Canis lupus familiaris: one gene and its partner. The protein of the gene in region 2 interacts with the protein of the main gene of each other region in a biochemical or structural test. Links are inferred from orthologs where the notes say so. Each region holds a gene or a part of one and is shown on either strand. Other genes may lie near its edges.

What was found.
Region 1: the proteins of NID1 (region 2) and FBLN1 form a complex in vitro, tested with the Homo sapiens proteins (3 studies listed by BioGRID). The link is inferred for Canis lupus familiaris from reciprocal best matches to the Homo sapiens genes NID1 and FBLN1.

What each region holds. Positions count from the first base shown.
Region 1 is NC_049231.1:21,559,373-21,563,731, forward strand, and holds the start of FBLN1 (fibulin-1), read right to left. Parts: upstream 2,809-4,359; 5' UTR 2,794-2,808; coding exon 2,768-2,793; intron 624-2,767; coding exon 325-623; intron 1-324. UniProt on the Homo sapiens protein: Incorporated into fibronectin-containing matrix fibers. May play a role in cell adhesion and migration along protein fibers within the extracellular matrix (ECM).
Region 2 is NC_049225.1:4,305,274-4,309,703, reverse strand, and holds the start of NID1 (nidogen-1), read right to left. Parts: upstream 2,867-4,430; 5' UTR 2,740-2,866; coding exon 2,515-2,739; intron 1-2,514. UniProt on the Homo sapiens protein: Sulfated glycoprotein widely distributed in basement membranes and tightly associated with laminin. Also binds to collagen IV and perlecan. It probably has a role in cell-extracellular matrix interactions.

The DNA of each region.
Region 1 (4,359 bases), on a different chromosome or scaffold from region 2:
AGATTTCTAGTAGCAGAAAAAGAAGCTCAGAGCAGAAGTGGGGGCTAGAGGTTTTATTTGCACTCCAGGACATTTCCTACCAGCTGGGGGACACCTTCCCCCAAGGCGCCTCACCCCAGTCTTCCGGATGCCTGGAGACAGGAGGAGGCAGGAGACCCGAGTATTGCAACATCCTGAGGTGATTTATAGGGAAAACGTCTTGTGTGTTTGTTTCTCAGCACTGCCTTCCAAGAGCGAATCTAAAACCCCACATTCTGATCCTCAGTGTAATTTCCAGTCATTCCCACCGACAACATTTGGTTCTTATTACCGAAAGATACTCACACAGATGTAGCATTAGAATCTTGGCTCTGATGGGTGAAGAAAACAAGATAATCGAGAGTCTTGCAGCAACCCTCAGACATTTACGATTCCAAGAAATGGTTGTTGGATCACGCCTCCAGAATGGCCATTTTCGGTGAGATTCTGCGTGGAAGACAGCCAGCCACTCGGGAAATTTCAGCCGGTCTGTCTGAGCTTGTACCCGGAGGCCCCTCGACGGTGAGTCCCGTAGGGACAAGGGCCTGGGCATTGTCTCTTGGCGTCCCCAGCCAGGCACACGGACAGTACTCCCTGAGGACCTGCTGACCGAGAAAAGGAACAACTGAGCCTCACAAGTCAGGACAAGCTAGTTTTTCTCATTTGACATTTCCTTCCAAAGGTTTCAAGGGCTTCTTAAAAGGAGAGGTGGCTTCTCTGAGACAGAGATGGAAAAGTGTTTACAGAGTTTTGAAATTGGATGGAGAACTTTCTCCTTGCCTTGGTCAAAATCTATAATATTCAATGATTTGGGCCCTTTCATTATACGTTATACATTACTGGTATAGCGCTCGCTCACGAACCCTGGATATCCCCCAGCGTATTTTTAAGGATTTATTTTTATTTTAGGGAGAGAGTGAGAGCGAGTGCAAGAGCTGGGGGAGGGGCAGTAGGAGAGACTCTCAAGCAGACCCCCTCCTGAGCGTGGAGCCCAGCGTGGGGCTCGATCCCAGGACCCTGAGATCATGACCTGAGCTGAAACCAAGAGTCTGACACTTAACCAACCGAGCCACCCAGGCGCCTTCCCATCCTCTTTTTCAAAGATTTATTTATTTTTATTTGAGAGAGAGAGAGAGAGAGACACTAGTCAAGTATATCCTTACATAATAATAGCTAACATTTATGACGTTTATCCTATGTGCCAAGCACTTTAGTGACCCATCTCTTTTAGTTCCCACAATTCTGGGCCAATGATATGCTTATTATCTCTATTTTATAGATGTGGAAACGGGCCTTGGAAGGTCATTTTTCCAAGGGCACATGGGTTGCAAGAGGCAGAGCTGCTATTTGAGCCCCAGGAATGTGACTCTGCAGCCCACGTACCCACAGTTTCCGACTGCTTCTGTGTGCCAATGATAAGCCACAGGTGGTGGGATGACGCCTCCAGGGACATTCATCCGCTTACTCCTCTTGGCAACTCTGACAGATAGGTCAGTGCTATGATCCCATTTTGCAGCTGGGGAAACTGAGCCTCGCAGAGATAAAGCCACTTGTGTGAAGTCACGTGAAATGACAGAGCCTGAACCCGCATCCAAGGGACAGCAGTGTGCACCTTTGTCTTCCCACAGGCCCCAGGTCTCCACACTGGACCCCATGACTTCACAGGGGTCCTGTCACACAACAGGTGTCTCCATCCAGCTCCCCCAGGGTGTGCAGGCTGACGGGGGAGGGCCTCAGCCCCGGGAACCCCCAGGACCCTCTGGGGCCCCAGTGCAATTGTGGACGAGCCAGGCATGGCTCAGGGAGCCCTGGAGAGAAGCAAAAGAAATCCGGCTATGGGGATGCTGGGTGGCTCAGCAGTTGAGAGTCTGCCTTCAGCTCTGGGAGTGATCCTGGAGACACGGGATCGAGTCCCACATGGGGCTCCCTGCATGGAGCCTGCTTCTCCCTCTGCCTGTGTCTCTGCCTCTCTGTGTGTGTGTGTGTGTGTCTCATAAATAAATAAATAAATAAATAAATAAATAAATAAATAAATAAATATATAAATAAAATCTTAAAGAAAGAAAGAAAGAAAACGGGCTAGTGTAGCTAATTCTGCACCGAGGAAACCCCTAACCAAACACCGATGCCTTCCTATGTCAGTGGGGACACCTCCCCACCCCGTCTCATGCACGCTTCCATATGGAAGGAATCAGGAGTCTGATTGAATTCTGTCCCCCTTCTGGGGCTTGCTTGCCTGGCGGGACTGAGTCAAGATCAGGAAAACCTCTCTCTTCCCCAGTGATGCTTCTGTGACCACACAGCTCCGTGACCCCCTGACCCCAGGACCTACCCCTTAGCCTGCCAACTTGCAGCCCAGGAGAGAGAACTGGGCCCCAAGAGCCTCAAGTCATCTGGGATGCTGCCAGCTGTGGGGCAAGCCCCGGAGCCCATTCTTGCCTGGTAGTCAATGGATCCAGGAGTGACGGGATCCTGCATGGACCCCTGCCTGGACCAGCCAAGCAAGCAGGCTTTTCTCCAATTCAGGATGGAGAGCAGGTCTCTGCCTGTGTCGCTGCCTTTCTCTGTGTGTCTCTCATGGGTAAATAAATAAAATCTTAAAAAAAAAATAAAAAGAAGCAGATAACCTTCCCCATGTCTGCAGCATTATCTGGCTCCAGGCCACCATCACCCCCACTTGGATAATTCCTGTGGGCTCCCCTCCTGTCCTCTGCTTCATCTCTGTTTCCTTCCCACACACCAGTCTTACCGCAGCAGCCAGAGTTGTCTCCACATGCAAGTCAAATTGCACCATGCTCAAAATCCTCCAAATCACCAGTCTTACTCCCAGGGAACATTAAAATCCTTGCAAAGGCCTGTAGGCTCCTCCCTTCTCCCTTTCCCCCCACTCCTACACTGACTCAGCTCCAGCCACACTAGCCTCCTAGAACTCCCAAGCGTTGTCCCTCCCCAGGACCTTTGCATCTGATGTCCCCTCTGTCTGGAGAGGCTTTGGCCCTCATGCCCTCAGCTTCTCATTTCTACATCTCCTCCTCGCCAAAGCTTTCCCTGGCATAGTGGACACTGGGATGCATGGCCCAGGTTCCTCTTCAGGAATGGAAGACCTGATCCCTGGCTGCTCTTGCCCCCTTCGAGAATTGCCTCAGCTGAGGAAGGCCACGTCTCCTTCCAGGGGCAGGCTTGTCCAACAGCTGATCCACACAAAGTATAAAGGCCTAATTTTAGACGTTTCTGAAGGCTCGTCCATGTCCCGAGCTCCATGTGGGGCTGGCTGATGTCTTTGTCGGGCCTTGTCACAGCTCAGCTTCTCCCCCTGCCCAATCCTGTCTTCTCCCCCTCCTTCCACACATACTGATCCCAACCGCCCAGCCTGAGTAACCCCTGTGCACTAATGTCCTCATCAGTCTGCTTCCCAGGGCATCAGTGACACCAGGCACCCTACCGAAAAGTACAGAATGCCTCCTCAAACACATGCTCACTAACCCCCTTTCTCCGCTCATTAGTGCTCATCCCTACCCTCACTCACACATTTACTTGTTCATCTTATTCATTGTCCGTCCTCCCGCCCAAATGTGAGCCCCACAAGGACAGGCCTATGTGTTCTTTTGTTTTAATTTCACTGCTTAGGACAATATCTAGCACTATTAGCACCCCCTCAAAGTTTGTTGAATGAATGAGTGACAGGCCGTGCTGTCCTTGACTTGCGGACTCTGACACTGTGAGTCAGTGTAATTAGTTTGGGGAACCTGATTTCCAGATCTTGACAACTTGCTACCAGTAAATCCCATTTTGCTGCACTCCGGATTGTGTGGGTCCCGATTCTCACCCTTCTCATCTGACCACCTGAGGAGTGTATTTTTTTGTAGAGCTTCCATCCACATCATCGTGGAAAATGTTGGATAAATCAAAGTGGCTTTTGTGGCCATTTTCTTGGTGGCGTTCATGTCCACTTGAGTTGATCTTGTCCATGTGTCTGTTTGCTTGTGTACTTCCGCCCCTCTTACCTGCGTGTCTTGTTCATTGCTGCAGCCCAGGGTCCACCACCACATCTGGCACCTTATGGACCTCTTGTGGTTGGCCTCATCACCACCTCATCACCTACTCGGCAGGTGGGTGTCATGTTCCCCCCACCAAGGCTGGCTGGTCACACTCTTTGACACCTTGGGATGCCTCCCTGGTACCGCTCTGGGTCATGCTCCCTGGTGTTCCCCATGCCCATGAGTACACTGGTCCTTGGACCCCTGGCGCCCTTGCCTATCTCTCTAACAGAAGTCCCATGGAACTGAGCCACAGCTCTCTGTTGTCAACAAAGCAATTATAAATAGGACACACTGTGTGCTG
Region 2 (4,430 bases):
TTCCTAAGAGCCCAGCCAGTGGCAGATATAACATCCAACAGAGCTCTGGGATTCTTTCTCATTGAAGTGCAGATGAAACCCAAGTAGAGGGGCACTTGGGTGGCTCAGTGGTAGAGCATCTGCCTTTGGCTCAGGGCTTGATCCTGGGGTCCTAGGATCAAGTCCCACGTCGGGCTCTCCCCAGGGAGCCTGCTTCTCCCTCTGCCTATGTCTCTGCCTCTCTTGTCTCTCATGAATAAATAAATAAAATCTTAAAAAAAAAAAAAAAAAGAAAGAAAGAAACCCACATAGACCTGGAAGGTATGGTTTGACCAAAATCCTTTTTTATATTTTTTAATTTTTTCCCAATCGTAAAATCCTTTTTTTTATCAAGAAATTTTCAAAGTTTTTAGAATGTAATGTGGTTAGTCTAATGCCACAAATAAAGGTGAGGAGGAGGTCCCAAATTTAACAAAAGAATTCAGTGGGTCTGTTAAGAGGGAAAAAAGAAATTTCATTTTTATTTTCAATAACCTCTGGCTGGTATGTAGTATTTCCTGTCATTATGAATGCAGGCAACAAAGCCTAGTGGTAACTCTTAATAACCTTGCCACAAATAGAAAATCACAGGTATTCTCACACCACATTTTAGTCTCGCAGCACCTGTCTTCAAATGTTGTTTACTGTCCTCCTGATCTTGAAAATTCAGTAATTATCTGACTACCACCTCCCACTGGACTCACGGTTACACCTTACTATTTAATAATGGGTAAAGATAAGCACATATGTTACTTCAGACAGTTTTTGTTTTAATTCTTTGGTTTTTTTTTAAAAAACGTATTTATTCATGAAAGACACAGAGAAAGAAGCATTGACATAGGCAGAAGGAGAAGCAGGCTCCCTGAGGGGAGCCGGATGCGGGACTCGATCCCATGAGCCTGGGATCAGGACTTGAGCCAAAGGCAGAGGCTGAACCACTGAGCCACCCAGGTGCCCTTACTTTTAATATTTTTATCTGGATTTCAACATGATTGATTTCCTGGGCAATCCTGCAGATTTTGGTTTTTGTGATTAAAAATATTCCACGAGGGGGTGTTACAGGCTTCATCAGACTGCCCGGGGGGTCAGGGCAGTCAGCTCACTAGGGCGACCCTGTCCGAGGGTAGAGACTGCAGGGACTCAGTCCTCTCAGGCAAAGCCGGCGAGCTGCACGTGGGGTCGCCGAGGCGCGGTCGGCCCGCGCGGACGGGCACAGGCACTTCACAGGCAGGACAGGCTGCAGCCGCGGTTGCTGTCGCGTCCTCCCCCCACCCCCACTCTGGAATGCGCTCTGCTTTATATGAAACCCACATGGTGCGCGGCTGGGGAAGGCGGCGGCACGGAAGGACCGACAAGCTGACAGCGCCCCAGGCCCGGCCCATCCGGAGAAGGCTCCAGGGCTGACGCCCCCGGGCCCGCTCCCCGCGGGGCCCCCGTGGTGACCCTGCTCCGCCACAGGAACTGGATCGCCAGGTCGCCCTGCCTTCCCAGCGCTAAATTCTGGCCCGAAACGAGCGCCCGGCCGGAGAGCGGACTCACGGCCGAGACACACCCGGAGCCCGCACCCAGGCGCCGGCTGTCGGCGAAATCCCGGGCCCCGCGCGGCTGTGACGGGCTGCTCTGCCCCGAGCGCGGCCCGGACCTGCCCGCCCGGACCTGCCCGCCCGCCCGGCTCGCGGGCCCAAGGGACGGGTCCATAGCGGGACCAGCTGCCGGGGGGGGGGGGGGGGGGGGGGGGGCGGGGGGGACGCCTCCCGCGGTCCCGGGGTCCCGGGGGTGCCGGGGGCCTCGGGGTGCCGGGGGCCTCGGGGTGCTGGGGCCTCGGGGTGCCGGGGTCCCGGGGGTGCCGGCGGCCTCGGGGTGCCGGGGTCCCGGGGGTGTCAGGGGCCTCGGGGTGCTGGGGGCCTCGGGGTGCCGGGGTCCCGGGGGTGTCAGGGGCCTCGGGGTGCCGGGGGCCTCGGGGTGCCGGGGTCCCGGGGGTGCCGGGGGCCTCGGGGTGCTGGGGGTCCTCGGGGTGCCGGGGTCCCGGGGGTGCCGGGGGCCTCGGGGTGCTGGGGGCCTCGGGGTGCTGGGGCCTCGGGGTGCTGGGGGCCTCGGGGTGCCGGGGGCCTCGGGGTGCCGGGGGCCTCGGGATGCTGGGGCCTCGGGGTGCCGGGTCCCGGGGGTGCCGGGGGCCTCGGGGTGCTGGGGGTCCTCGGGGTGCCGGGGTCCCGGGGGTGTCAGGGGCCTCGGGGTGCTGGGGGCCTCGGGGTGCCAGGGGTGCCGGGGGCCTCGGGGTGCTGGGGCTCCCCGGGGCCGGCGGGGCGCGCGCGGAGCACCCCGGCCCGCACCCCTCCTGCTGCAGTGGCCCGGCCGGGGGTCCCCGTCCCCGCCCAGGACGCCCTCGTCCGGCCAGCCCCGCGGGCGCCCCCGCCGGCCCCCGCCTCCGTCCGCCGCCGGCTCGGCCCCACGCCCTCCGCCGCTACAGCCCCCGCCGGCCCCCCGACTCGCACTCACGTAGACCGAATCGATGTCGGATTTGTCGAAGAAGCGGAGCGCCCGCCTCAGCTCCAGGGCTGGGGAGACACGGTCGTCCCCGGGCTCCAGCTGCAGGTCCCCGTGTCCCGGACCGAACGGGAAGAGCTCCTGGCGGCTCAGGCAGCCCCCGGGCCCCACCAGCAGCAGCTGCAGCAGCAGCGCCCGCGTCCACGCAGTCTCGCCCCGGCGCCTCGCGGCCGACATGGTCCCGAACTGGCGTCCCGCAAACCTAGCGGCTCGGCGGACGAGGCCGGGGAGGGCGGAGACGTAACCGGACGCCCCTCGGCTGCCCCTGCACCCGCCTCCCGAGGTTCCCTCCCCGGGAAATAGCGGAGGAGGACCAGGGGAGGTGGGGGTGGGGAGGGGGAGGGGGAGGGCCCGCCCGCCCGGGGCCGGACGCGCCGCCGAGGCCGCCCAATGGGCGGGGGAGGGGGGGAGGGGGGGGAGGGGGGAGGGGCTCGGCCCACCCCCGGGGGAGGGGCTCGGCCCACCCCCGCGGTCCTGGCGCGTCGCCCTGGACCCCGCGGGGGCAGGAGCGCGGGGGCCGCGGGAGAGCCGAGCGCGCGGCTTCGCGCCCCGGGCCTGGGGTCCGGGCCCAGTCGGAGGGCGGGCTGCGTGGAAACGCTCCGCCTTCAGGAGCACAGTCCACCCCGGCGCTGCTCGGCGGCGTCCAGGTCGGACTCGCTGGGTGGGACTCTGGCAGGAAGAGGGGGCAGGTAGGTGCAGGAAATCAGGGAGAGGGGACTGGACCCGACGCGTTCATCTACTCATCCATCCAGATTTTCAGCGTCATTGAGTGAGGTGGAAGTTCGGCCAGACGGGGGGTCCCACCCTCGGAGACACAGTCACGAGTGTATATGATAATCCGGTGTTTGGTGGGGCGGGGCCCCCAAGTGATAAAATGACATTAGGGCTGGAATAATTGGCCAAGGAGAACTTCCGAGGGGGACCCGGGACTCGAACCACGGCTTCTGGAAGGGGATGGAAAAGTCATCAGGAGGCTGGGGAAGGGACGTTCTGGAAACTGGAGCTGTGAGCGGATTCAAGACACAATCTCCCAGTTGAGAATGTGGAACGAGGGCTGTTGGGAGGAAAGCCTTAATACCAAACCTAGGAATTTGAACTCGCTCTTAACGCTCAGAGAACAGCTATTGAGAGTTCCTGACAAAGGGCGATAAGGCATGTAGCTGGTGTCCTAAGTAATGGGTTGATCATTAATTTGGCATTCATTGGGAGGTCATCAGAGGGCTATTGAAAGGGAAAACAGGGGTGAGGGGTAGTGAGAATGGAAAAGGTGGATGGATATTGAGAAGAATTGGACCTAAGAGGCATTACAATGAAAGAAGGAATGAGACTTGATTATGAATCTGATATGGGGGTTAGGGAGAGAAGTTAGAATTGGGTGTAAGGTTTTGAGCCTGCAGGATTGCAAAACAGGGCTGCCTTTTGAAGTCAGGGACAGTGGGTGTTGGATATGTGCTTGCTATCAGACCTCTTAACCTAGAGAGGTCAACACGGGGCATTTCTGTTGCCTGTCACCAGCTAAAATGAAAGACCTAGGACGCAATTCGAAATAATTCTCACAGTAAACAGCAAATTCAATATAATATTTAAGGAGCAGGAGTCCTGAACCAATAGAAAACATAAAAAGCAAATGACATCCACCCTCTGAACAGAAAGTCTTTGATCATTCTGGATGTCTTTTTCTTTTAAATTCATTAGCTGTCACAGAAAACACTACATTTCTACAAGGTATCAGTTCGTTTTGCAACCACGATAACCCTAGGAGAGAGACCATCCCCATTTTCCTGAAGAGGGGCACAGAGATCCAGAGAGGTTTAAGTCATTTTGCTAAGGCTGCACAGCTGGAAGCCTGCAGGTGACCCAGGGTCGTC